4 linked regions of the Diceros bicornis minor genome follow. The protein of the gene in region 3 purifies or fractionates together with the protein of the main gene of each other region. This does not show direct contact. Links are inferred from orthologs where the notes say so. Each region holds a gene or a part of one and is shown on either strand. Other genes may lie near its edges.

The links.
Region 1: the proteins of COPG1 (region 3) and COPA purify together in Homo sapiens (affinity purification with mass spectrometry; 6 studies listed by BioGRID and IntAct, counting the BioPlex papers as one, with this or other methods). This does not show direct contact. The link is inferred for Diceros bicornis minor from reciprocal best matches to the Homo sapiens genes COPG1 and COPA.
Region 2: the proteins of COPG1 (region 3) and ARCN1 purify together in Homo sapiens (affinity purification with mass spectrometry; 6 studies listed by BioGRID and IntAct, counting the BioPlex papers as one, with this or other methods). This does not show direct contact. The link is inferred for Diceros bicornis minor from reciprocal best matches to the Homo sapiens genes COPG1 and ARCN1.
Region 4: the proteins of COPG1 (region 3) and COPE fractionate together in Homo sapiens (co-fractionation; 6 studies listed by BioGRID and IntAct, counting the BioPlex papers as one, with this or other methods). This does not show direct contact. The link is inferred for Diceros bicornis minor from reciprocal best matches to the Homo sapiens genes COPG1 and COPE.

Annotation. Positions count from the first base shown.
Region 1 is NC_080743.1:65,001,502-65,008,747, forward strand, and holds the start of COPA (coatomer subunit alpha), read right to left. Parts: upstream 3,005-7,246; 5' UTR 2,904-3,004; coding exon 2,864-2,903; intron 1-2,863. Other genes in the region: NCSTN (nicastrin), read left to right, coding at 3,129-3,213, 4,442-4,546. UniProt on the Homo sapiens protein: The coatomer is a cytosolic protein complex that binds to dilysine motifs and reversibly associates with Golgi non-clathrin-coated vesicles, which further mediate biosynthetic protein transport from the ER, via the Golgi up to the trans Golgi network.
Region 2 is NC_080746.1:18,320,113-18,327,072, forward strand, and holds the start of ARCN1 (coatomer subunit delta), read right to left. Parts: upstream 3,018-6,960; 5' UTR 2,888-3,017; coding exon 2,885-2,887; intron 1-2,884. UniProt on the Homo sapiens protein: Component of the coatomer, a cytosolic protein complex that binds to dilysine motifs and reversibly associates with Golgi non-clathrin-coated vesicles, which further mediate biosynthetic protein transport from the ER, via the Golgi up to the trans Golgi network.
Region 3 is NC_080741.1:89,473,966-89,481,544, reverse strand, and holds the start of COPG1 (coatomer subunit gamma-1), read right to left. Parts: upstream 3,023-7,579; 5' UTR 2,938-3,022; coding exon 2,901-2,937; intron 1,948-2,900; coding exon 1,895-1,947; intron 1,421-1,894; coding exon 1,340-1,420; intron 1,090-1,339; coding exon 1,018-1,089; intron 834-1,017; coding exon 754-833; intron 1-753. UniProt on the Homo sapiens protein: The coatomer is a cytosolic protein complex that binds to dilysine motifs and reversibly associates with Golgi non-clathrin-coated vesicles, which further mediate biosynthetic protein transport from the ER, via the Golgi up to the trans Golgi network.
Region 4 is NC_080759.1:6,465,260-6,472,412, forward strand, and holds the start of COPE (coatomer subunit epsilon), read right to left. Parts: upstream 3,015-7,153; 5' UTR 2,964-3,014; coding exon 2,838-2,963; intron 1-2,837. Other genes in the region: probable ATP-dependent RNA helicase DDX49, read left to right, coding at 3,333-3,447, 4,292-4,415, 5,633-5,718, 5,806-5,927, 6,250-6,437, 6,559-6,699. UniProt on the Homo sapiens protein: The coatomer is a cytosolic protein complex that binds to dilysine motifs and reversibly associates with Golgi non-clathrin-coated vesicles, which further mediate biosynthetic protein transport from the ER, via the Golgi up to the trans Golgi network.

The sequences.
Region 1 (7,246 bases), on a different chromosome or scaffold from region 3:
CAATAAGCTAAGTAAGCCCCATAATTTCACCTCCTGTCAATTCTGACATGAAAAAGAAAAAGCTAGGTTAATCCTAGGTTCATACATTCATTCTTTGGATGCCAGACATTATGAATTTTGTTATTAGGTGCTGGATTTTTGTTATATTCCTTTAAATATTGTTGGGCTTTGTTTTAAGATGCAGTTAAGTTACCTGGAATCAGCTGATCCTTCTGAGGTTTCCTTTTAAGTTTTGTTAGGGTGGGGCCCCAGCAGCCTTTAGACTAGGTCTAATTTGGCACCACTATTAAGGCAACACCCATCTGAGGTCTCCATGTGATGCCCTGTAGTATTAGGAGGTCTTTCCATTCTGGCTGCTAGGAACACAAGCTATTCCCAGCTCTATGTGAGCGCCAGAGATTGTTCTACCTTCTCCTCTCCAGTGGTTCTTTCCCAGGCTTTGGGACTTTTCCTCACAAGCATGTGCAGATTAGTCCTCAGACAAAGCCCTGACAGGATCCCCTGCAGAACTCCAGGGTTCTCTGTGCAGCTCCCTCTTCTCTGGTATTTTGCCCAGCAAACTCTAGCTGTCTTGTCTTCCCTGAACTTTAAATTCTGTCTCCTCAGTGAGACCACTGGGCTCTTCCCACCTCCCTATATTGCAGCCTGGAAACTCTCTCCAGGTAGTAAGCTAAAACAATCATAGGACTCATCTTGTTTAATTCCCTTCTCTCAAGAATCACTCTCCTTCACTGCCTGTCATCCAACATCTGAAAACCTTCATTTCCCACATTCGGTTCAGTTGTGCAGTTGTTTAAGGTGGTGAGATAAATCTGGTCTCTGTTACTCCGTTATGATTGGAAACGGAAGTCCACAGAAGTCACTACTGCTAACATTTTGGAGTGTATCCTTTCAGATTTTTAATGCAGACCATATCACTTTACTAAAATGGAGATAATATTATAATGTTCTGCAAACTTCTTTTCTCACTTAACTATATATCATGGATCTCATTACACTTAAGTACATATAAACATAACCTCATTCTTTTTAAAAACTGCAAGGTACAAATGAATCATATTTTTAAATTATTCTACTGATGGGCTTTTACGTTTTTTTCCCTAACTTTTGTCTATCAGAATACTGGGCCTAATGAAGACACTTCCACACATATTCTAGCCTATTTGCATTATTATTGCTTTAGGCTAAAGACCTGGAAGTGGGATTGCTCAGGAATAGCATATGTGCATTTAACATTTCGGTAGATACTATCTGACTGCAAAAAGACTATCAATTACAGTCTCACCAAGTTTCTGAAGGTACCCATATTGCACACCTTGGCCAATGTGAGAGGTTATCACTTATCTGTTGTTTTGTTTGTTTTACTAACTTAAGACCGAAAAAAAGGTATTCTCACTTTTTTTTTTTGCATTTCTTTCACTACTAGTAAAGTGGAGAACATTTTCATTTACTTTCATTGAATATTTACATTCTTCTAAATTGTCTACTGTTCCATTAGGTTGTTTTTTTTCCTTTATGATATATAGAAATACTCATTAATGGATATTAACTCTCAAATATTCTGACATCTTTTTTTTCCCACTTTCTTTCTCTACTACCCAACAAGAAGTTAGGAGCAGAAGAGAAAACTCAAGGATTATGAAGACCCATTTCAACCATCCAGGAATTCTTAAGGATACTCTTCATGATCAAGATTCTCATGACATTTAAAAACTGCTCAGAATCTCTTCTCACATTAATAATGACCTCCAGTTTTTGAGCTACTGAGTCTACGCCAGGCACTGTAATAAGCACTTTTCATATACCTTCTCGTTTTAATTCTCTCTATAAGAGAATGTTAATTATTCACATTTTACAGATGAGAAAATAGAGATTTAGAAATGTTAAGCAATTTGTCCAAGGTCACACAGCTTGTTAGTAGATGTTTCAGGATTCCAAAGCAAGCCTATCTGACTCCAAACACCAAGTTTCTAACCACTTTGCTATGCTACATCTCATTAAATGTTCAAGATATATATATATTTTTTTGTTGTTGTTTTCTTTTTTTAAGTCTCAGGAGACCTTACTTCCCCGCCTTTCCCACCCTACCATTCTAGGAGACTACTACAGTGATTTCAGTTATTTGCCCTCCACCCCCATCCATTGATACTCAAGCTCTAGAGTTGCCATATTTAGGAAATAAAAATAAAGATTCCCAGTTAAATTTGAATTTCAGATAAACAACGAGCAATACTAAAAAAATTACTTGTTGATTACCTGAAATTCAAATGTAACTAGACTTCCTGTATTTTACCTGGCAACCTTATCAAGCTCAGATTTTACTGGGGTTACAGGCCTCAATGTCCTGTTTCCAGGTAGGAAATAAAGCCCAGTGGTGGCACTAGATGTTGATATGGTGCAGCCAAGGGCTCCTTAAGAGAAGTAGCCAGTGCTCGCCTCCGAAAAAGCTGACTTAGACGCGAATTGTAGAGGTCGATCCTCAATCCCCAGGGCCACTCCTTACAACACGGTCGTCAAAAAGCCAACACACAGGGCCTTGAGAGCAGAAGAATAAATGACGGGAGCACAGGCCCTAGGAGAGGAGGGAAGGGGAAAGAATAGGAAGCGGGCTAAGGGCCCTCCTGCCACGCGGGAACCACTACAGATAAATCAAATCCCAAGGACACAACAAAGAAGAGAGGACTGGAGAACCGCCTGCCAGGCCTAGCCTCCCTCCCTCCCTCCCACTTTCCCTCCCTCCCACTTTCCTCGGGGTTCGTACGGTGGGCCCAATTCGGCCGGCACGTCAACCCTCTCTCTCTTCCCCCGTGAGAGCGCCGCCCCTGACACCGAGCCTCCATACTCCCCCTTTTCTTCTCACTACCTTTGACTCGCGCGCTCTTGGTCTCGAATTTGGTTAGCATCCTTCAGGCCTCGGGCTCCAAGGTGCTAATCAGAGCCCCACCGCTCCCTGCCGCCCTTCGGTTGCCTCCACGTCAGCGCCCCTCAGCAGCGGCTCCCGGAAGCTCCACGGATACCAACTTCCGGTCCGAGGAACTCCGGGCCACAGAGACGGCGCCAGTGTTGGCCTAGAGAGGCCGCTGCTGGACCAGAGGGGAACCGAGGCTTCCGCTCAGCCGAGAGGCAAGATGGCCACGGCGGGGGGTGGCTCTGTGGCTGACCCGCGAAGTCGAGGTTTTCTTCGCCTTCTGTCTTTCTGCGTCCTACTGGCAGGTGAGGCCTTCCCCGCCCATGAGCTCCAGTGTAAGGAGAACCCTCCGGATCGGCCCAACCGCAAGCGCCGCTGTCTTTCTTCTGGTTTCCGCTGCCCCTCTGTCCCCCCACCCTCTAAATCCGTCTTCTCTTTCGTTCCCACGACAGAAGTTCCCCCTTTGCCTGGACCTGAAGGTCCTTTTTCCCCTGCGGCACGTCATGTCGCCCCATTTCCTCCTCCAGGCCTCTTCCTGGACTTCCAGCCCGACTCTCTCCCCCTTTATCCAGATGCCTCATTGTCCCCGTGGCCCCAGTCAGCCCACCTACAATCAAAACGGACATTATCAGAGTTCAGCTTCACTTCTCAGCGCGTTTAGACTTTCTGAAAGCAGCCTGGTTGTGTGTGTGCGCAGTGTGACTCTTAGGAAAGTAGATTTTCGTTTCTTCGTTTGTTGATTCCACTGTAAACCCGCGTCTCTGTGCTTTGCCTCAGTTTGTCTCGTCAGGCAAGTGAGACAAAGATAGGATATGGGTACTCTTAACTGTTTAGACCATGAAAGAATGATTCAGGGAACTTTAGGCATTTACAATGTGCATAAGTGTTTGCTTACACACATTTATTTTCTGATATATGGCTTTCTAGTTGGTCAAGCCCTAAAATATAAACATGCCTGTTTATAACCCTGACCTACCTTCCCCCAAACTTACATTGTTTTTAAAGATCTCCAAAGGAGAAACTATAGCTGCCCCACACTGTGGGCACACATGGATGACCTACTGATGTTAGAGTAACTGACAGGTGTGTGGTGTAAGGTTTCTCCCAGTTCTCTTCAGACTCCTGGAAAAACGTCTCAGAAAGATTTTTTTATTTTAATCTATGTTCGTAGACTGGCACTCTTTTATTAACTAATTAGTAATATACATACAGGATAGAAAAGCAGAAGTGTGGTCACCCGTGCAACCAAAAGCTAGTACATCTGTGGTTAAATTGCCTTTCCTTTGACAAACCAAATTTTCTGTCTTTTAGCTTCATTGTCAATTGCTCTATGTGGAATTTGTAGTAACCCTCTGAGGCAAACAGCTGAGTGCATTTATCTTTCCAATAATGTGCCCAAGAAGTAAGAAGAATGGACATTAGTCCCATTTTAGAAAGTATGATATACCCAAGCAGTCCAGCGAGCTAATGACATGATAGAGGCTGGTACCAATGTCTCTTGTTTTCTTCTAACACGTTTTATCTTCTGATCAGGTTTGTGTGGGGGAAACTCAGTGGAGAGGAAGATCTACATCCCCTTAAATAAAACAGCTCCCTGTGTTCGTCTGCTCAACGCCACTCATCAGATTGGCTGCCAGTGTGAGTTGAGGTTGGGATTTGTGTTTGTGACTGTTGATGTTTCAGTCGGCCCCAGATATAAAGATCCAAGTCCTGCTTGGGAGTCTGCACACACAAATTAGGCTATGTGGGTTGGAGGTAATAGAGAACCATTTGTCAAACCAGGCAAGATAATAAGAGCTAACATTTAGTGAATGCTGCATATTAAGTGTCTTACACGTGCATGTTATTTAACTCACAACAACCCCATGAAGTAGGTTCTATTATTATCTTCATCTTACAAATGATGAAACTGAGACTTGGAGAAGTTGAGGAACTTCCGAGATCATCCTGACAATAAGTAATGAAGCCAGGATGTGAGCCCTGGTGGTCCAAGTTTTAACCAGCCAGTAGGTTAAGTAGCAAACTATACTGTTTCCTAAGCAGAAAGAAGTCTCGTATTCTGTGGAGTCCAGTCATCATCCGTACTCTGAATGATCTTTTTGGAACCAAGATGGGCTTCTTTAAGGCAGTAAACTATTTGAAGGGAAGGCATTGAGAAAGCCAAATTGTTGCAAGAGGAATTAGTGAAACATTTAGATTTGTCTTTATGCTTTGTAAAGGTGTTCCAAAACAGAGTACCATGACAACATGGTTATAAAACTATAAAAGGGGAAAAAGTTGTGATCTGAAGGCTGAATCCTGGTTCCTCTGCTGCTTAACCCGCTCTCTTCAGATTTTGTTCTTCTGTGGCTAGTTGCTCTGTCAGAATGTAGTTTGCAGGTAAGCAGGAAACTTAGACTCAGCTCTTGGCTGCTTCAGCCTCAAATAGGTCACCTCTGAATTTCAGTTTACTCCTATAAAAATGGTTAGAATATACCTGCACAAAGCTGAAAGTTGAACTGCCTTTAATAGATGTTGATTGATGATGCTGAGTAAGTAGTGTGGTCTCAGCAGTACTGTATGATTGCGTGAAACCTTCCAATTTCGTGGGAAAAAACTGAGGCACTGGGAAGTGAAGGACTCGCTCAAGGTGGCAGTTACTACTTTTCTACGCTTCCTTCCATGAGCTATACTCTATGTTAATTGCCCCGCGTCCCTGTTACAGGAAGTACTGAGAGTAGGCTAACTGGTTCCAAATAAAATTTTTTGTTGGATTTAGTTCTTAAACTGGGTTTGTGAGGAGAAGGGAGCCATGTCCAGTGTGGGCTGAGATCAGACTATTGGTCTTGCTGGAATCCCACTCTCGTGCAAAAGGCTACGACCCTATCCTCCTGGAGCTGGGCTCTAAGATATCCTCTTTGAGAATGAGTCATTCTGCTGCATGTTCTTAGAGCAGCAGCCCTGTGGGAAGCAAAGCAATAGCCTCTAGAGATAAAGCCAAGTGCCAGTACAGAGAAACAAGAGGGGAGGGGCTGGACTCTGGCCACTTCCTCATTAAGATCTTGTTTCCTTTTCAACCTACTTATTTCTAAGTCTTACTTCATCGTATTTGTCCATCCTGAGCAAGCTATACCCTCTTTACTTAGGGTTTCTAACATGATAAAATTAAGGAGAAAAAGACCCAGGTTTGATTTTCTGATTATAATGCTCTGTTTCTATTAGACCCCTTTAAAGTGCCCAAAGGGGGCTATATGTGGGTTTCTTTTCTTTTCTTTTCCTTTCTTTCTTTCCTTTTTTAATCTGTCCGCACAGTCTGAGATGAATAGGGGTGGAAAAGCTTCTCCTCATTGAAGCCCTAGAGAAAGTAAGCAAGTTACTTAAGACTACACAGTTACCAACTGGAATCCAGATTAGAATCCAGATTTTTTCAGTCCAGTGTCATAGCTTGTCTTCCTGTCCTCCTGGAAGCTGAAGTTATATATTTTTTATTTGCCAGACTAGTTTTTCCTTTTCCTGTGTTTTAAATGCTGTGGCAATAACTGTTGTCTTTTGTTTTACTTGGGACTGCCATTGGTAGCTAGATCTTTACTAAAGTTATTCCAGATTCTGATATTTCTCTATATTTTATTATCATCACTATCAACATAAACTTATTAAGTATTTACTATATATAAGACATAGTTCAATGTTTAGGATCTGCTTCCATGTCTAGATTTTACCAGATCCCGTGGGAGAAAAATTCTACTTGGCTGGCAGTCTAAAAGTACTTACGCTTTTTGTCTCATGCAGGTTATAAGTTTTCAGTACCTTGGTTTTAGAGCCATAATTCTCATGCCTGGCTGTGTATAATAAAGAACCACATGTAGCCTGTTTTGAAAATAACACTTACCTGGGCCTCACCTTAAGAGATTTTAATTTAATAAATCTGAGGTAAGGCCCAAGTATCTGTATTTTTTAAAACTCCAGAGTGATATTCTGATACACAGCCAGGGTTGAGAACTACTGCTCTAAAACAGTTTATGAATAACACATCCAATTTTGAGTGGGGATAAGACTCATGGGGAGACCCTAGAATGTCTCTATATGGATCACTGGGGACTTGAGGGGTATTGCTACATAGAACTCAAGTCATTCTGGACTGGAGATCATCCATCCTCTAGTGCAGTGCTTCCCAATCTTTGTCATGTCATGAGACATAGAAAATGTTATTTGTATGGCATCTTGGCACATATAGAAATGGATGATATTTGTAGGGCGTCCTGGGGTAATAGATGAGTCGGCTCTTGGCTGGGGGTGACCAGCTTAGGGTCTTTGGAAACCTAAGTCCCCAGAAATGATGAGAATCAATATCAACACATC
Region 2 (6,960 bases), on a different chromosome or scaffold from region 3:
ACAAAACCTAAAACTTGAAAAGTTACTCAGTGAGAGTTTTAAGCTTATCACAAGTTTCTGTTCTAAAACACAAGCTTGTAGTGAATAAAAATAAATGGACATAGTTCTCACTTTCTGCAGTGTACTTCCTACTCAGAGAATAAATAGACGGCCATCAAGGAAAACTCAAAAAAATCATTTTCATTCTTTGCTGTCCTTTCAAACAACAATCAAAAAGATAAATAAAAAATACAATAGCTGTGCAGCTGCTGTATTGTACATGAAAAAGGGAAAAAACAAGCAATAATAATCCCCTAATTGGGAACTGTTATGACTGTGTAGAATTTCAGTTTCTCCCGTCATGTGTAGATCTGCCATACAAACCCAAATCTAGCTTTCTAATAACTAATGACTTTTGGAAACTGAACTTACTGGGATCATTTATATTTAATCTGACCACTACAGTAAGTTTACTCATTGCCTATAGTAGTAAATAAGAACAGCACTCTGTAGATAAGCAAAGATTTTACAGATTGGTGCTACCATGAGACTAAATATCAAGTTTATTCGAATGTAAGTTTACTAAGAAAAAGAACTGATTCTAACGATATCTGACAAATTAGGAAAATAAGAATATGTTCTCATTAATTTGCAGAAAACTAGAAAAAAGATGCCTTTTTTTGTACTTCATTTTATAACAAAGTCATCATAAGCCATTTCTTTTTGCATTTGTTCATTTATTTCTCTACTAGGACTTCACAAGGTAGGACATTTTGCACGAATTTCAGTAACTAAAGGTAAAGGAAATTTTTCAAAAATCAATATTTATGTACTGATAGCTGAAACTTAACTCTGAAATGCATTAAAAAAAAGGATGGATAGAAGAATGGATGGATGATTAGATGTGTGAGAAAAACAAGTATAGTGAAATGTTAATTACAGAATCTAGCTGGTGGTTATATTGGTGTTCACTGTAAAATTCTTTCAACTTTTCTAGATGTTTGAAAATTTTATACTAAAATGTGAAGGAAAAATCAACTTTCAGGAGTTTTGATACAACTTTTAGATGCAAGAAATCTTACCAAATGTCACCCTATTTGGACGTTTCTACTGTCCAGGGATCTCTTCCTAAAGGAATAGGGCCCAAAAACATTACACAGCAATAACACTTAATAACGTCTTAAGATTCAACAGAGCAGAATGTACTGAGATAAGCTGTTCTCTAGAGTACACAAATCTGTGATATCTGGATCATGCCAAGTCCTAAATAATTCAAAAAGATATGCATATCTAAATATGACACAACTGTATGTATATGCACGTGTCCGAGTAACACACAAAATTTATATTTTATGTTTATCAGTCAACACCTAGGGCTTTACCATTCCGCAGTTATCGATGAATTAAAAATACTAAGTTCCAAGAACTTTTCAACATACAAAGTTTTTGTAAAGATTATCTATATTTGGTTTATATAAGGCTTTAATTTCGCTATTAAAATTATAACATGCTCTAAAATGCACTACAGATACATCCAAGATGTAAAAAACATCCAAAAAGGAGTTTAAAAATCACTATCCAAATACTAAGCCTCCTAGTGAAAATGAAAAAAGGAGTTTTTGGAAATTTTATGTCCAACGTAAAAGTTTTATGAGGTAATCCTGCTTGACAAAATTTATATGCCTGAAGCTGAAAAAAACCTTTCAGTGGTTTTAAGCCCAAGCATGAATCCCCCCCACCATCTAAGTTCTCATCTAAAAAACGTTGTCAATAGAACTTAACATTACTGGCACCAAATTATATTGTCATCTCTCAAGTGTGCAGGAAAATGCTTTAAATCAAATTATTAATCTATTGACAAAAAGAGAATAAAAAAAGAAAAGAACATCCTTCAAAACACTGAAGGGCATAAAGTTCACTAAAAAATAAATTACTAGCTCGTTTGGAGCCAAAGATTTTCTCCTACTTCATAAATATCCACTAATTGTAGTGATAAAATAAGATTTAGTGGAGTCAGCACTGTTTTGTCCCATCCTCACCCACGTTAATTTTTCCCTACAATAGATGAGAACACAAAGATAACGCATTTGAAGCCAAGTAAGAGGTCCCAGAGTATAACCCGTTTCTACTGCTCCTGTGAGACATCTGATCACGATACGCCACATACACATTTTACTTTACCGGAACAGTAAGTTCCTTGAGGACAGCCTGTGTTTTCTCTAACTCGCTCACATTTGCCCAGTGCTCTATACACAGGGTATACTTAATCCACTGACAAAAGGACACACCTAAATTCTGGAGAAGCAGTGCAAGGTTTCAGGGACAGTTGGGTCCTACAGATTAGTGTTAGAAGGTACTCCTTCCTGTTTTATGCCTCCTTTCATCTATTTCCCCCTTTCACAAACAAAAGAAAAAGTCCTGAACACCAATGGATTTGGAGTTCGAGTATCAATGTCCTACGGAACACCGGGGATGGGAGGAGAGCTGATTACAGAAGGAAGCTAATCCCCGAGAGAGGCCCAGCCTGCTAAGCCCAGGCGCCCATGGAACGGGCGGGACATTAGCGCCGAAGGCCGCAGCATGGGGTCCAAGCGACACCACTACGAGGTTCTCGCAGCGCAAAAACCCCAAGCCCGTTCCAGGGCCCGGAGGGTCCCAGCTGTTTGGGCGGGGGCGGGAGGGGGGTGTGCGCGCGACGACACAGGGACTGGAGCCGGGTCCATCGGATCTCCCGGGAGGCCCGGCACAGGGTGGGCAAGGCCACGCCGCTCCCCCAGCCCTGAGGGAAGCGCCCGGCTGCAGGCCCTCGGGGCGGGGCTCCTGTGGCCCCAGCACCAAGCCGTCCGGCAGGGAGAGCGAGCGAGCAAGGCCAGACCCCGGGAGTTGGACCCGGCTCGGAACTTACCATGGTGAGGGCGGTGGTGGTGCGCACCTGCGCTCCGGCTCCACTGCGGATAGCGCTAGGGTCAGGGGAAGGGCAGTACCAGCCGCTCCAGACCTGCTACCCCCCTGACAGGGGCCGCTGCCGCTTCGCCTCTTGCCAAGATGGCGGCCTGGAGCCACGTCTCCAACCGGAAACGGCGCGGGTCAAAGGGCGGAGGGCGGGGCGCCGTGGGGTGGGGAAATTGTGGGTACCGGCTGGTTCGCCAAGGATGCAAGGGGCTTCGCCCCCCAAGCCGTGGAACTTCATACTTCTGTCTTTTCACCGTTCGTCAGAGCTTTCATTTAGTTTGTGGTACCTCTTACAGTTTATAAAGATCTCACAGCCACTATATCATTTAACATACAAAATAACCTGTGTGCATAAGGGACTAGTATCCAGAATATATAAGGAACTCTTACTACTCAACAATGAAAAGACAAATAGTCCAATTTACAAGTGGACAAAACAGACATTTCTCCAAAGAAGATAGACAAATGACCAATAAGCACATAAAAAGATGCTCAACATCCTTAGTCCTTAGGGAAATGCAAGTCAAAACCACGATGAGATACTACTTCACACCCACTAGGATGGCTATAATAATAATAAATGTCAATGAGAATATGGAGAAATTTGAATCCTCATACACCGCTGGTGTGAATGTAAAATAGTGCAACCACTTTCAGAAACAGTTTAGCAGTGCCTCAAAAAGTTAAACAGAGACAGCCCTGATTGCCTAGTGGTTAAAGTTCTGTGCAATTTCCCTTTGCATAGGGTTGGGTTCCTGGATGCAGAATCACACCAGTTGTCTGTCGGTTGCCATGCTGTGACAGCCGCTAAGGTAGAAGAACTAGAAAGACTTACAACTAGAACGTACAACTATGTACTTGGGTCTTTGGGGAGAAAAAAAAAAAAGAGAGGAAGATTGGCGACAGATGTTAGCTTAGGGTGATCCTTTCCCAGCAAAAAAAAACAAGTTAAACATATAGTTACTATATGATCCAGCAATTCCAGTCCTTGATATATACCAAGAGAATTAAAAACATAAGACCTCACAAAAAATCCTACACTAATGTTCATAAAACTTTATTCATAATAGCCAAAAAGTAGAAACAATCCAAAATGTCCATCAATAGATGAATGGATAAAAAAATGTGGTATATTTATACAATGGACTATTACTCGATCATAAAAAGGAATAAAGTGCTGATACATTATACAACATGTATGAACCTTGAAAATGTTATGTTAAGTGAAAGAAGCCAGTCACAAAAGACCACATCTTATATGATTCCATTTATGTGAAATGTCTATAATAGGCAAATATATAGAGACAGAAAGTAGGGCTGCAAGGGGCTGGAGGAGAAGAGGAATGGCGAGTGAGGTTTATTTTTTGGAGTGATGAAAATGTTCTAGAATTAGATAGGGGTGGTGGTTGCACAATTTTGTGAATATACTAAAAACCACTGAATTGTACACTTTAAAAGGATGATTTTTTGTGTGTGTGTGAGGAAGATCCGCCCTGAGCTAACATCTGCCAATCCTCCTCTTTTTGCTGAGGAAGACTGGCTCTGGGCTAACATCCGTGCCCATCTTCCTCCACTTTGATATGGGACGCCACCACAGCATGGCCTGACAAGTGGTACTCGGTGTGCGCCCAGGATCCAAGCCGGTGAACCACGGGCCGCTGCAGCAGAGCGCGCACACCCAACCACTTGGCCACTGGGCTGGCCCCTAAAAGGATGAATTTTTATAGTTTGTAAATTATATCTTTAAAAAATGTGTGTGGGAAGCAGGGCAGTTACTGTGCTTATGTCCATTTTGTAGATGAAGAAAATGATGACAAGTTTAAGCAATTTACCCAAGGTTGTAGGCCAGTATATAATGGAAACAAGACTCCAATCCAGTCTTCTGATTCTGTTGGTAGTTCTCCCACGCCAAATGTCAGACTTAGAGAATATGTGATTCAGCAGTTCTTCCCTATATCACTGGCTCGACTCTGCAGCACATCCATTGCTGCAATAATGGATAAGCAGCAATCTTTTATTGAGTGTTTATTTTATGTCAGGTACTTTATATATGTTATCCCTATTCCTTTATAACAATCTAGATAAGGGCAGAGGATCAAAGAAGTTAAGCACTTGCCCAAACTCACACAGCCAGTAAGTAGTAGAGCCAGGGTTCAAACCCAGCTTTTCTCATTATGACACACTGCCTCTCTATATCTCCTGTGTATTCCTTAATGTTTATTGACCACTTACAAGGTAGCAGGCATTACTCTAAATTCTTCACACAGATCATCTCATTTAATCCTCACAAGAATTCTCTGAGATTGGTACCATTAATATCTCTATTTTACAGGTGGAGAAACCAAGGTACAGAGAAGAAAGCTATTCTACCACAGGTCTCAGAGCTAGAAAGTAGCAAAGCCAGGATTCGAACAAAGGCTGCTCAACTTCAGAACCTGTACCCTTAAGCACGGCATTATAGAATTCTCACTGTTACTCATTTCAATTCCATCTCCAATGACTTTCTAGTAGAATCTTTACAAAGCTCATGTATTTTTAAACTTTGCATGTCTGGAAGGATATATGTCAAACTGTATTGTTTATTTTTGTTATAAGAAGCACATGTATTTTTAAAAAGATGAACAAATTCTTAATTTAAAAAAAGTAAAAATCCTGCCTGGAATTATTGCTTTATTGAGGCAGCTTCCAGGGGCCTTCAATATGGACTACCGAGGCTCAGGAAAGACCAGTTGATGCTGATTCTTTGGAAATATGATAGTAGCTGAATTAAACTGTGGAAGAAAAGCACCCTGCAAGCATGCTTCATGAGGAGCACCTTAAAGGCAGTAGTCATAGTGGTTTTAAAAGCAGAGACTTGGGAGTTAGACTGCCTTGTGTTTGACTCCCATTTTCAGCACTTACTAGCTGAGTGACTTTAGGCAAGTTGCTTTAACTCTCCTCAGCCTCAGTTACCTAATCTGTAAATTGGCAGTAACATCTATCTCATAAGGTTGTGAAGTTAAACAATATATTAATAAATAAAATTGTATAATCTAAGTGCTCCTACAGGGTGTGGTGGTTAAGATTTGGCACTCTCACTGCCACAGCCCATGTTCCCTGACTGGGAACCACACCATCTGTCTGTCTGTTGTCATACTATAGTGGCTGAATGTTGCTGTGATGCTGAAAGCTATGCCACCGGTATTTCAAATACCAGTGGGGTCACCCATGGTGGACAGATTTCAGCAGAGTTTCCAGACAGACAGACTAAGAAGAAGGACCTAGCTACCCACTTCTGAAAAAATTGGCAATGAAAATCCTATGAATAGCGACTGGCCCAGTGGCATAGTCGTTAAGTTCATGCGCTCTGCTTCGGCGGCCCAGGGTTTGCAGGTTCGGATCCCCGGCACAGACTGCACCGCTTATTAAGCCATGCTGTGGCAGGCATTCCACATATAAAGTAGAGGAAAATGGGCACAGATGTCAGCTCAGGGCCAATCTTCCTCAGCAAAAAGAGGAGGATTGGCAACAGATGTTAGCTAAGGGCTAATCTTCCTCACACACACACACACACACACACACACACCTATGAATAGCAGCCCTGAGCATTGTCTGATATAGCTCTGGAAGGTGAGAGGATGGTGCAAAAAGACATGGCAGAGTTCCGCTCTGCTGTACACAGGGTTGCTAGGAGCCTGAATCAATTCCATGGCACTAACAATACATATCCATTATTATTAGCAATAACAGATGACAAAAAATTTTTTAAATGTTTTGCAGTTCCATTTTTAACCAGAGTGTCTCAGAAGTGGTGTCTCTTGTTTTCTTTTTAAAACCACTTTCCCGCTTTCCCCTGACAGGTTTTCAGGGTCAAATTTCCAATATTCCTTTCTTTGTTTCTCTCTCTCTGACTCCCAAAATTAACTGTGTCTATAGTTTTGGGACATTTGTTCCTTACATCTTCATTCACTCATTCCTTCATTCATCCACCCAAGAGCATTTTTTAAAACCAGCATTTTTTTTTAATAATTTTATTTGTTTATTTATTTT
Region 3 (7,579 bases):
AGACGCCACTCAGACAGTTCTAGGAGGCCTTTCCTGATCCGAATTCAAGTTGGGGAGCCCCGTGGTCTGCTCTCACAGCCCATCATACTTCCCACAATAAACCGTAATCTACTCAATCTTAAGGGCCCACTGCCTGCTTATTTCTCTGTAAATTCTGGGGCTGCAGAGGCCATGTCTGTCTTGTTTGCTGCTCTATTCCCAGAGCTACCCACAGGGACTGGTAAACACTCAATAACTATTTTGTAAATAGACCTACAAGTGAATATATAACATCCCCCCACAAAACATGTTGCAGGAAGAAATAAGAGAATTAAGCCCCAGTTCTTAAGGGGAGGGACTATACCTCAGTCACATCTGTCCCCTGAATCACTCAGCCTAATGCAGAAACCAGTACTGGGTAAGCAAGCCTAATTGTATACTCTTGCATTCTCTATGTCTGTTTTTCTTGTGTTCTCTCTGAACACTCACTAAAGTCTTTGTGAAAGTTCCACGCTGGCTCAGTTGACTAAGAGGAATCAAGTAAATGAAGGGTTTGCTCCCAAGTTAAGACCAGAGAATGAAAAGGGAAACAGCACACACTCTGGAGGCTGCTATGGGATGGACAGCAGTAACTGAAGGATGAGGGAGACAGAAGAGGAAAGGGTGCCTGGCAATATGTCAAACAAAAGTCTCATGACCTGGTACACATGGCAAAAAATGGCCTCTGTATCAATGGAACCCATCAGAGGAGCCATCCACAGACCCAAGACTCACCTGCTGGTGACAATGATGACATCCTCTGCGATGCAAGACATCTCCTTGATGGTTAAGTAGCACATCCGACGGAGGGTGGGCTGGAAAAGAGATGGGAAAAGCCCTATGACCCCTGGCTCAGCATGAGGGCCAGGGAAAGGAAAAGAAAACTCCAATCGACACAAAGGCAGTCCACACTGACAGATGGAGTCACCTTCCCCTGGCCCTCCCACCACCCTGTCACAGCTGTCCCCTCTTGAGGAAATCTGGGGGTGGGGCACTTACATCGTTGGACTGAAAGAGCTTGGTCATGGCAAAGAAGGCCTCCGTTGCTTCAGTGGTCCCCAGGTGCTCCCCCTATTTTAATCAAGAAAGAAGTCTCAGCCTGGGACAAAGGGGCCAGAAGGCCCTTCCTGCCAAATCAGCCCAGGATGGATCCTCAGACCGTGCAGAGGTTCCATTAAAGGCAACATATCAGAGTTGGACGCTGAGGGGACCCAGAGCTGGGCCATTGGTTATAACCACACGGTGGCTGTCAAACAGCCCTTAGGCAACTCCCAACATCCCCCAATACCGTTTTCCCCAACCTCAAGTCTCACCCTGTTACCTGGTTTATGAGGTAAAGGATCTTGGTGAGGATATGGGCACATTTCCGAGGGTTGATGGGAGTTTCGTTAAATACACGGGCCTGAGAAGAAGTGACCAAGGATATTAACCTCCAGCCCAACTTATTTCCCTTCCATTGACTCCCCTCAAGCACATTCAATGTCTGAGAAGACCTGGAATACATAAATACACTTGCCTAGACAAGCTTATTCTCATAAGGAAAGAGTTTTGGTTTTTTCCTCTTAATTCATCTATTAACAACTCCTGAAATCTTCCCTAAATATTAATTAGGAATGCGCTGACTTATTGACTAACAGATACTAGTAAACACTTGTTAACTAGAAAGAGAAATGAAGAACAACAACAACAAAAGTGTCAGCATAACGAACTCTCTTCAGGAACAAAGTTTTTCTGTCTTTCCAGGAACAGGTTTCTCTCCTATTGTTTTTTAAACCAGCAGTTTGAATGTATTAGTATTTCGATCGCATCAATCATGAACATTTATGCAATCATGAACATTTATGATGGAAGATACAGGGGAGCAAACGACACTTGCCTCCTGGAGTACTGCACTCTTCTCAAGGTGCTGGAATGGGTTGGAGCCTCCACCTACAGTCAGAGAACAGAGAAGACCAAATTCAGGTTATGACCCTGAATTCTAGCAAGATGTCCCTATCGTCTACCTAGTCAAGTTGCAACTCCTCTGGCATGGCAATCAAAGCTTTACAATCTGCCTATAGATACAACAGCTCTCCTGCAAGGGGGCTCCACTCTACCCCAAACCACTTACTCACAGTCACCTAGCGGCCCTGGGACCATCCTTCTGTTCCTCTCATAGTGTCCTGCTTTGCATTCATTTATGCAATTGGTACCTAACTGAGTCCCTACTGTGTGCAGGGACCACCATCTCCCCAGTAACTAGGGTTCCTTCACAGCACGTGTCACATTTGTAATTAATTACATGTGTGATTATCTGATCCATCTCTGCCTTCTCCACTATGCCTGCTATCATTCTAAAATTCCCAGCTCAAGCACTGAGTGTCTCACTTGTTCTACTGCAGTATCAGGACACAATACCGTGCGTGGCATGCAGTAAGCACTCAACATACGTTTGCTGAGTAAAAGAATGAAAGAGTCAGGGTTCTCAGCCACTGGACACCGGCTCCGCAGACTGCGCCCCAGTTTGGACAACACCAACGCAGCCCCGGCGAATCCCAAGAGTTCGGATGGAGAAAACAACAAAGGAGCATCTGGCTCGGTCCCCTCCCCTGACAGATGGGGAAACTGAGGCCCAGAGAGGCGCGTGACGCGCCCATGGTCACCCAGAGAATCGCAGCCCAAGCTTGCGAGTGGAAGGGCCGTGGAGCATGCTCGGGCTCTCCGAGGCCTGCCACTGACCAGCGGTGGACCTTCGCACATGCCCCTGCCGAGGGGGCCCCCTCATTGGGCCTCGGCCTCGGATAGGACAGAGGCCCCAACGGAGGGCTCCCAGGGAGGATGCTGAGAGCCTGCGCGGGGGTCCGGCCTCCCCTAGGCCTAAGCACAGGCATGGGACTCCTCACCTGATTCCTCGTCCTTCTTGTCGAATTTCTTCAGCATGGTGGTGCCGGCGAGGGCGCAACACAGTAACTCTGTCCTGGGACGTAGCAGCGACCAACAGAGACACTGCGGCGGTTCCGCACAGGCCACTTCCGGCTGGCCACGTAGCCCTGCGCTCTGCGCACGCGCACTCTGAGCTCTGCGCACGCGCATATTCCGGACGCGCAGCCCCGTCCGACGTTAACCCTGTCCCGGCCGGGGAGGCTGGGGAGCCGGGGCCGAGGGCTGGGGGGGGCGGCAGGCAGGTGGAGGCCTCAGACTGGGCACCCTAACTCTGCGCCTTGAGCCCCCCTTATCGTACAGTGGGAGTAGTAGTCGTCCCTGCCTCACTGCGTTGTGGCGGGAGTTTAAACTGGCTTTCGGAGGTGAGGCCCCGCAGCACACCGGCCCGGAGCAGACACCCAGTTAATGATACCTGTGGTTGTTATTATTGTCACATTCTCGGGAGCTCTCGCTAGCCACTCCTCACTTTCAGTCCCCTTCTCCTGCCTGATTTTTTTTCCTAGCTCGAATCACCACCTAACACTGTATTCTTACTTTATTGCTTTTATTGTCTTTTATTCTCTGCCGTGGATGACGTTGGCATGTAGCAGGTGCTCAGTAAATTCTTGAGCGAATTAATGCATGAACTTGCTCTTATAATTCATATCTGCCCACTCCCTATCACATCTGCTCTTGGTGCAAATTGTTTTGTATTTTGTTGACTTTCAGGAATCCAACTAAAATAAAAGATCAGCATAGAGACTTCAATGTTGCTTTTTTGGGTATTTATCGAGCACCTTACTAGATCCGCCGCTTAGCGCTGGGGACAGGAAGGGACTGGAAGGGGAAAACGAAACGTCACGCAGGGTGTATCTTCCTGGGGACCTACGCAGAACACCTCGAGGCCAAGGTAAGGACGGTGCGTGCAGACGTGCCAAATTGCATTTGCTACGGCAAAGCCGAGTCAGGATGACCCAGCGCTGCGACGCGTGGCACCAGCTTTCCTGGGGAGAGGGCAGCCTGAAGCCCAGCGACGAGGAGAAGGAGCCCTGGTGAGCCAGAGGTGGAGAGGCGCGGCAGGAGGCGGGGGCAGAGGCTGGCGGGTGAAGCAGAAGGGGGTGACAGCAAAGTGGGAGGAGGGGTGATGGCAGAGGGGCCACCCTTTGGGGTCAGACTTTGCGGAGGCTGAGTCTGGTGGCTGGGGAAAAGCAGGGGATGGGGAGAGGAGATCTTGTGCCAACGTGAAATTGTCAAGAGCCGGAAAGATGTTCAAAATCTTTAACCAGAAACCCCACCCCTTATCCGGGGAAATCATCCAAAAGAAGAAAATAAAGGTGCCCACTGCAGCAGTTTGCAGCAAGATAATTGAAAACACTCTAAATGCCCAGCAATAAGGGGATGATTAAGGGAATTATGGTATGTCTATTGGATGAAATATTCCACACCCTTTATAAAGGGATAAATGAATTTCTGACCACTTGGGAGGCAATATGCAAACTTCTTATAATAAATGAGACATTAAACAAGAAAAGCAGAGTGTAAAAGTATTCATAATTAAGGTGAAATAAAGATGCCTCGTGGTTAAAAACCAGAAAAGAACCCCAGAGATTTGGATTGTTGTGTTAAGATGATGAAATACAGATGAGTTGTGTTAGGTTAAAATATCCTGTTATGATATTAATTCTATAAAACTAGATACCAAGGACAATTTTGACAATACCTTTCTGAGAATGAGAATTGTGTGTTGTGACTCCAGCTCTAAGTATGTATAATTGTAGGGTTTTTATTATTTTTTAAATGTAATATACATTCTTCGTGATAGTCACTAAGTCCTTTGTAGATAATCACTAAGTCCTTTGTAGAAACAGAGAACACTGAAAGTACAGGAGAAACCAGGGACATTTTAAGACGATTGGGAGGTTGTACCAATATCCATATCCTGGTTATGATAGTATTTAATAATTTTACTAGTATTTAAAAATTGAGAAATAATCCACATACCATAAAATTCACCCTTTTAAAGTATACAATTCAGTGGTTCCTAGTATATTCAAAAAGCTGTGTACCCGTCATCACTAATTCCAGGACATTTTCATCATGCCCAAAAGAAACCTGTATGCATTAGCGGTCTTTTTCCATTCCTCACTCTCCTTCCTGATACCCCCAAAACTGTGAATCTACTTTCTGTCTCTATGGATTTGCCTATTCTGAATATTTCATATAAATGAAATCATACAATATGTGGCCTATTGTGTGTCTGGCTTCTTTCACTTAGCATAATGTTTTCAAGGTCTGTCCATGTCGTAGCATGAATCAGTACTTCATTCCTTTTTATTGCTGAATAATATTCCATTTTATGGATGTACCGTATTTTGTTTATCCATATATCAGTTGATGGACATTTGGGTTTCCACTTTTTGGCTGTGAATAATGCTGTTTCAAACATTTGTGTACAAGTTTTTGTGTGACGTATGTTTTCTCTTGAGTATATACCTAGGAGTAAAAATGCTGGGTCATATGATAACTATATTTAACTTTTTGAGAAACTGCATCAGCACCACTTTATATTCCCACCAGCAATAAGGGTTCCAATTTCTCTACATCCTTGCTCACACTTGTTATTGTCTTTTTGGTTATAGCCATCCTAGTGGGTATGATGTAGTACCTCATTGTAGTTTTAATTTGCATTTCCCTGATGGTTAAAGATGTTGAACATCTTTTCAGGTGCTTACTGGCCATTTGTATATCTTCTTTGAAGAAATGTCTATTCACATCCTTTGCCCGTTTCAAAATTGGGTTACTTATCTTTTCTTTTTTGTGTGTGTGAGGAAGACCAGCCCTGAGATAATATCCAACGCCAACCCTCCTCTTTTTTGCTGAGGAAGACTGGCCCTGGGCTAACATCCATGCCCATCTTCCTTTACTTTATGTGGGACGCCGCCACAGCATGGCTTGACAAGCAGTCATCTGTGCACGTCCGGGATCCGAACCTGCAAACCCAGGGCCACGGAAGCGGAGCACACGCACTTAACCGCTGTGCCACAGGGCCAGCTCCGGGTTACTTATCTTTTTACCTTAGAGTTGTAAGAGTTCTTTATATATTCTGGATGCTAGACCCTTATCAGATATAGGATTTGCAAATATTTTCTCCCATTCTATGGGTTGTCTTTTCACTTTCTTTATAGTGCGCTTTGAAGCACAGAAGTGTTTTATTTATTTATTTATTTAATTTATTTGTGTGTGTGTGTGTGTGTGTGTGTGTGTGTGTGTGTGAGGAAGATCAGCCCTGAGCTAACATCCATGGCAATCCTCCTCTTTTTTGCTGAGGAAGACTGGCCCTGGGCTAACATCTGTGACTATCTTCCTCCACTTCATATGGGACGCCGCCACAGCATGGCCTGACAAGCAGTGCATCAGTGCGCACCCGGGATCCAAACCCAGGCCGCCAGCAACAGAGCGCACACACTTAACCACTATGCCACAGGGCTGGCCCCCAGAAGTTTTTTATTTTGATGAGGTCCGATTTATTTATTTTTCTTTGTTGCTTGTGCTTTTGGTGTCATATATAAGAAATCATTGCTTCAGAGCCACCCCGGGGCGTAGTGGTTAAGTTTGCATGCTCTGCTTTGGCAGCCCGGGGTTCACAGGTTTGGATCCCAGGCATGGACCAATGCACTGCTTGTCAAGCCGTGCTGTGGCGGCATCCCGTATAAAGTAGAGGAAGATGGGCACGGATGTTAGCCCAGGGCCAGTCTTCCTCAGCAAAAAAAAAAGAGGAGAATTGGCATCAGGTATTAGCTCAGGGCTGATCTTCCTCACACACACACACACACAAATCATTGCTTAAACCAAGGTCATGAAGATTTATCTCTATGTTTTTTTCTAAGAGTTTTATAGTTTTACCTCTTACATTTAGGTCTTTGGTCAGTTTTGAGTTAGTTTTTGTATATGGTGTGAGATAGGGGTCCAACTTCATTCTTTTGCTTCTTGATGTCCAGTTGTCCTAGCACCATTTGTTGAAAAGACTATTCTTTCCCTTATTGAATTGTGTCATCACCTTTGTCAAAAATCAATTGACCATAAGGTATAGGTTTGTTTCTGGACTCTTGCTTCTATTCCGTTGATCTGTATACTATAGTTCTGCAAGACGTTACCATTGGGGGAAACTGGGTAAAGTACACAGCATCTCTCTGTATTATTTCTTACAACTGCTCATGAATCTACAATTATCTCAATAAAATTTTAATTTAAAAAAAGCAGAGATTATTTCTATGGTACCTTCTCACCACCCTCACCACAACCACCCCCACCCCAACGCCCCCAGCTAAAAGAACTATTGTGTTCTAAGAATTTTTCCAGCCTTCATCTGAGGCACCCACTCTTGCCCTCCAGGTGGCACCAACTCTCTCTTTTTACCTCTAGTTTTTCAGAAGCCAGAGCAGGAAGAGGCTCTGCCAGGGCATCTTGCCAAGAGCAGGGCGCCTTGCCCGGTTCTGGCGGTCCACCAGGATGACTCAGGGCAGTTTCAGAGTCCTGGGCCGGCCCTGAGGGTCCTCGCAATATAAGAGAGACTCAGGGCTACCTTTGCTTTAGGGGCAGCTTCTGGCCTTGTAAAATGAGTTCTCCAGTCAAAGAAGAAGTCCTCTATTTCTTCTCTGCT
Region 4 (7,153 bases), on a different chromosome or scaffold from region 3:
ATTAAGGTGTCAATAGGGCCGTGGCTCCCCACAAAGGCTCTCTAGGAGGATCCTTCTTTGCCTCACCCAGCTTCTGGGACTCCAGGTGTTCCTGGGCTTGTGGCTCATCACCCCAATCTCTGCCTCTGTCTTCTCTGTCTGTGTCTCAAACCTCTCTTTGCCTTTCTCTTAGAAGGACACTTCTCATTGGATTTAAGGCCCATCCTAAATCCTGGATGACTTCATCTAGAGATCCTACTGAATTACATCTGTAAAGACCCTTTTTCCAAGTAAGCTACATTCACAGGTTCTGGGTAGACATATCTTTTCAGGGACACCACTCAACCCAGTACAGCCTGCCCAGGACGGTTCAGGTGGCCTATGGATCAGAATTAAATCACATCAAATGGCTCAGGGGGGAGAGTGCTCCATTCTTCTGGATGCTTCAGGGAGAACACCTTGGCTTGGTGGCAGCACCTCTTGATCACATCGCCAAAGAGGGCGCAGGTCCCCAGCTCAGAGGCTGAGCAGTGTGCCTCCAGCCAAAGTGACCACTGACATGGTTTCCATATCTTCATTTTCAGACACTCTCTATGTGCAGCAGGTCATGCTGGTTCTCCCTTTCAGCAGCAGTGTATAGTCTGCATATAATGACTCAAAAGAACACATCGCTATGAAGTAAGCAGAACAGACATACGGTAGAAGTCAAAAGGTGGAATGTGAGTGTAACACTGAATCTCACAGTGACCCTAATGAGATAGGCATCATTTTTCCCATTTGACAGGAGAGGAAAACAGAAGCTCAAAGAGGTGCAATGACTCAGCCCTGGTAGCAGAGCCGAAATCTGAGCCCAGGTCTGTCTCAATCTTCTCGCAGCCCACACTACCCCAGCCAAGAGACACATAAAATTGTGGTGGTGAGCCAAATAAGGCACCCCCCACCCCTGCTGCCCAGAGATGTCCACACCAGTCCTTGGAATCTGTGAATAGCTTACATCACGTCACAAAAGGGACTTCAGAGCTGTGATTAAGGTTATGGACCCTAAGAGGGGGAAACTATGCTGGGTTATCTGGGAGGGCACAGCCCAATCACAGAAGCTGATAGCAGCTAACAGACAGAAGGAATGCAGAAGGGGAAATTCGAGAGATTCCAACTGTGAGAACCCCACGGCTAGTTCTGAGATGGAGGGGCTACATGGAGGTTGAGAATTGGAGAGAAGCTTCTAGGAGGTAACTTAGGTGGTCCCAGGCAGAGAGCCAGCAACCTGAATGAGTTTGGAAGCAGATTCTTCCCTGGAATCTCCAGAAAAGACACAGCCCACCTGACAATTTGATTTTAGCCTGGTGAGCCGTGTTGGACTTCTGACGTATAGAAACTTTGAGATAAGTTTGTGTCATCTTAAGCTATTGTTTGAGATAATTTGTCCCGGCGGCAACAGAAAACTCATGCAATCATGCAAACGTTATTTCAAGAAATCCAAACCGCTTTCTGAAATCTGTTTGAGGCTTTATCCCCATTATACAGATGACGTGCAGGGAAATCAGGTACACTGCAAAAGGCGAAAAGCATGGAAAACAAGCCTTCTCTACTTCAGAGTCTAAATTCCTCCCAACTCTCTGGCTGCCTCTGTGAAGACACCTGCCACTCTCTCACTAGGTGCTCCAGTGGCTTCCTGTGCCTTTAGAATAAAATCTAAAGCCCTGCCGTGACCCCAAGGCCCTGCCCACCTCATTCTCATCCTCCCCATCGCTTGCCCCACTTCTGCTACACTGACCCCTTATGCCTGGGCTACGCCAAGCTCATCCCTGCCTCAGCACTTTTGCAGCAGTTTATGGGGTCAGACGCCTCTCAAGATTCAGCCTCAGGTTCAAATGACAATCAGAGAGGCCTGGCCTGATCTGACCACTCCCACATGAAGCAGCACCCTCCTTCTCCATTCTCAGCACTTTTTATCTACCCCCATCCCCAGAGTGCTCAAGTTGTAACTACGTATTCACTAGCTTCTTTACTTGCTTACTCTCTTTGGAACACTAGACTGTGAAGGCAGGCAAGACTGCCAATTTCACTGCTCTTAAAAGTTCTCCAATGGTTCACTCTCGCAGTGTCAGTAACATCATGTCCCTCCCCAAAAGTTGCTGCTAATGGCCCCTGGTGCCCCCTCTCCTGTCACTGGCTGGCTGGGCCCTGCCTTGCAGGGCTATTTTCTAGCTCTCAAACAGCCAAGCTCATTCCCACCACTCTCCATCACGCCACCTCTTGACTTCTTGTTTATTTACTCCTTTACTGTCTGTCTCCCTTGAGAGGCTGAGGTTTCTGAAAATGCTAGGAGTTTTGTCTGTTTTGTCACTGCTCTGAGCCCAGCACGAATACACTACTTGGCCCACAGAGATGCTCAATGAGGAACGAACGAATGAATAACTGAACAAGCACGTCTGGGGACAAATGACCGGGCTAGTGGGGCAGGATAACACCGGGGAAGCCATTTCTCTCTTGAGCCTCAGTGTTCTCTGTAAAATGAGGATAAACAGCAGTCCCTACTTCACGGGAATTGAGGGTCTGGCGGAACAGTGTGGGCCGCTCAACAAAGGAGAACATTATTACTACATGATACAAATGCCTCTCTTACTCCAATGCTTCCAGGACGCAGAGCGAGCGCTCTGAGTGAGAAGCACTATGAACTGTTACTGCTCTGAGATTTGCTATGGGACAAGATAACTCCTCACCGCGCTCTCAAGAGATGCGTGAGGGGAAACCGCCGCGAGAAGAGGAAGCGTTCTTAAAGTCAGACCGCGACTCGCGGCCACCAGGCAGCTTCCTCCGTCCCCGCCCCCAGCGTCCCGGGCCCGGAGCGGCCGCACCTTCACCCGCTGCGCCTCATTGATGCACTGCTGGTAGCTCCCAATGTAGAAAGCATTCTTCACGTCGAACAACTCGTCCACCTCCCCTGAGCTGCCGGAGGCCGGGCCGGGGGCGGGAGGCGCCATATCGCTATCGTCGCAACCGCTCTTCTTCCTGAGGGACACGTCGGCCGGAAGCAGGGGGCCACCGCGGGGCCGGGAAATGTAGTTCACTCGTTCCGGCCTGGAGATGAGCCAATGGGAGACGCCTAAACGGGGGTACGGGGGACGCGAGTGCGTCTCGCAGGGCATCTCGGGAATTGTAGTTTGATTCGATCCTGCGAGCCAATGGGATTCGGGGAAATATGGTAAGGATGCGGTCGATGGCAGAGTGAGCTGGAGAGGGCGGGACCATGCAGGAGGCGGATCCAATTAACGGGAGAGGTTTCGTGACGTCATCAGCACGCGCCGGAAGCGCCTCTACACACGGCTGCTCACACGGGGCTGGCGGCGAGGATGGCCGGCTTCGCGGAGCTCGGCCTGTCGTCGTGGCTGGTGGAACAATGTCGGCAGCTGGGTTTGAAGCAGCCCACGCCCGTACAACTCGGCTGCATCCCCGCCATCCTGGAGGGTGAGTGTGGCCCGGCCTCTTCCCAGAGGCATCTCCACTCCTGTTGCCTCTCATTCTTTGCCCACGCCGGTCCTGTGAGGCGTGGGGCAGGCTTGGGCGTTACGGGCGAGTGTAGGTTCCGGAGGCAGACTGGGCAGTGTTGGTGTTAGGCTGTGTGTCCTCGCACAAGTGATATAATCTCTGAAACTTTTATAGCTTCAGAACAGGGAGGGTTTCATAAATGATTAATCGATAGTACTGGGAAGATTTGGTAGAGTTTGCACTACTTATCTTCATTTTACAAATGGAAACTGAGGCTGTCAACATTACTGGTAAATCCAGGACGCTGGTCCCGTGACTGCTCTTCTCCCCACTCTTCTGGCCCGACCTAATTTGCCATTACTGAGGGGCCCTCAAGAAGCCTAGGATGAGACAATTTGAGGGATTAAATAAAGATGGAAGAATTAACAGGGAGCATAGGATGCAGATTGGGGAGGGCATTCCAGGTTCCCCAAGCTCAGGTGCTCTGGAAGGGAGTCAAAATGAGGTAGTGGTCAGTAGCAGGCATATTGGGTCAGATGGATGAGGGTTCCAGTCTAGTCTGGCATCAGCCAGCCGTGTGTCCTGGACAAATCTCTGAGACTCATTTTTGCCTTCTGTTAAATGGGGATGATAACGGCCTTTCCCTCCTAGAATTTGTCAGTTACCAGCAATGGAACGTTGTCAGTATGTTCGGAGGGGAAATGGCATAGGCAGTACTGGGCACACAGTAACTGCTCATTAAATGTCAGCTGTTGTCAACTGTGCCAAATGGAACACCCGTCTACACCTAAAGTGTGTTGATGCTGCTTTGCCCTCTGCCCAGGTCGGGACTGCCTGGGCTGTGCCAAGACAGGCAGCGGCAAGACAGCAGCGTTTGTCCTGCCCATCCTGCAGAAGCTGTCTGAGGATCCCTATGGCATCTTCTGCCTCGTCCTGACACCCACCAGGTGAGCCCCCTACAGGTCTCCTGGGTAAGTTAACCAGCTGTGCTCTCAGGCAGGCGCCTTTACCTTGCTGAGCAACACTTTCCCCATGTGCAAAATGGGGACAGAAATCGAGGCCACCTCATAGGAGTGCTGCAGAATTAAACAAGACGGTGTGCCAAAAGTGCTGGGCACAGGGCTTGCCTCAGGGCAGGCACTGCCGGAAAGGAGCCATCAGTAGTCTTACAGCCCAAGAAATACAGTCACTTGCCACGTAACGATGTTTCGGTCGACAACAGACCGCATATATGGCAGTGGTCCCATAAGATCAGCGCCATAGAGCCCGGGTATGTAGGAGGCTGCACCCAGGTTTGTGTAAGTGCACTCTGTGATGTTCGCACAACCATAAAATTGCCTAACAACGCATTTCTCAGAACGGGTTCCTGTCAAGTGATGCCTGACTGTAAACACATCTCCAGTTCTTGGGCAGACACGTGTGGCAGTTGAAATGACAAGTCCTGTGATGGCCACAGAAGAGGCAGGCGCTGCATGCTGTTGAGGGCGTGGCCAGGGAAGGGGGCGTCGAGGAAGGCTTCATTCAAGGGGTGCCTTAATGGATGGAAAAGGTCTCTCAAGAGGACAAGTTTGGGGAAAGCATTCTAGGCGGAGAGATCTGCTAGTGCATTCATGCAGAGGTCTGAGAGGCAGGGAACAGAAAGGGTCCTGTGGGCCAGGTGTGTTAGAGCCAGCTTGAGAAGGGCCTTGAATGTCAGGTTAGAATTGATTCAGAAGGTGTGTGAGCAGGAAAGGGCAAGACAGGAGGCCAGGAAGTGGGGACAGGGGCCGAGGAGAGGCCTGGGCAGAGCTGGGCCTGAGGCACAGAGGAGGGGACTTGGACACTGACCAGCCCCGGGGAGGGGGGACTGATGCTCGGGTCTCAGGCTTTGGTGACTGGTGTTGAGACCATTGCTGAGGACGTGGGAGGAGGAAAGGCCAGTTTGGATGGGACTGGGGGGGGGGGCAGGGCCCTGGGCTGATCTGGGGCCCAGCCTGGGGAGGGTGCAGGGGCCACAGCGGGCCTCCAACGCTCAGCATCAGAGCCTTTGACCACAGGGGACTGGGAGCCCTGAAGGGTGTGTGAACGGGAGAGGGTGAGTCAGGAGACGCCGGCGGGTGGAGACAGGAATGGGAGAAGGCACAGAACCCCTATCTGACCCAACCCGGCCTCTTCATGCCCACAGGGAGCTGGCCTACCAGATCGCAGAGCAGTTCCGGGTCCTGGGGAAGCCTCTGGGCCTGAAAGACTGCATCATCGTAGGCGGCATGGGTACGGAGGGCTCGGGGAGGCTCTGAGTGTGGCCCTCTGCAGCCTTGGACCACCTGCCCAGCCCCACCTCTCGCCCTTCACCCACAGACATGGTGGCTCAGGCCCTGGAGCTCTCCCGGAAACCACACGTGGTCATTGCCACTCCGGGGCGCCTGGCAGACCACCTCCGCAGCTCCAGCACCTTCAGCATAAAGAAGATCCGCTTCCTGGTGAGTTGGCCTGGGGCGCTGATTCATCTATTTGGGAAACATGCGTCCCACAGGCCATGCAGTAGAGCTTTGGGAACAGTGACAAGGACACTCAGGGACCAACGAGGGGACCTGTACTAGGAAGATGGTTGGGGCAGGGTCTCTCGGAGGAGCTGACGTAGAAGCCAAGATGGGTGAGGGAGCAGGCCTCCGAGACCTAGAGGGACAGTTCTCCAGGGCTCACATCCAAGGCAGGGAAGGAGGCACATGGGGGAGGCGGGTCAGGCCCCAGACAGCACCCTCACCCCAGATCCACCCCCACCCCCCGCCACCGGCACCGCAGGTGCTGGATGAGGCGGACCGGCTGTTGGAGCAGGGCTGCACTGACTTTACTGTGGACCTGGAGACCATCCTGGCGGCCGTGCCGGCCCGCAGGCAGACCCTGCTCTTCAGTGCCACACTGACCGACACGCTCCGGGAGCTGCAGGGCCTGGCCACCAACCAGCCCTTCTTCTGGGAGGCTCAGGCCCTGTAAGAGCAGCAGCGCAGGCAGGGGGTGGGGGGGCATCCCCAATGGAGGCTATTACCCGTGGGCAGGGCGGGGCATTGGCCCCATTCAGCAGAAGGGGACACATGGCGCACCTGTCCCCAGGGTACGCACGGTGGAGCAGCTGGATCAGCGCTACCTGCTGGTGCCTGAGAAGATCAAGGATGCCTACCTGGTCCACCTGATCCAGAACTTCCAGGACGAGCACGAGGACTGGTCCATCATCATTTTCACCAACACGTGCAAGTGAGCTTGAGCGGGCCCCCCCCCCCGAGCCCTTCACGGAGGCCCAAGAGGGGCCAAGGTGCAGATGTGAGGCACACGGCCAGACTCGGTGCTGTGGGGCCTCTGCTCAGACCAGAGATTTCAGAGAACTCTCTCAAGGATGCTCAGAGAGACCAAGGGATTCGCCATGGTCACTTCTCCTGAAGCTGGAGCCAGGATTTGGGGTTTTTCAGACCTGCCCTTAACTAGAAGGGCCAGGGGCCTCGGGCTGTCCCCAGGAACCCCTGCAGCAGATTTGCTATGCTCTAGGGTGTCACTGAGGCCCAGCGCACCAGCACCCAGGCTGTTGTCTCTGCAATCCCAGGGGTCCCTAGAGCCAGTTCAAGTCGGCTCCTCCTCTGAAGCTTTTGGGGAGATGTCAAGAAGATGTAGGCTATTCCAGTATGAGCTAGGATAGAGGGGCAGTCCACGTTGC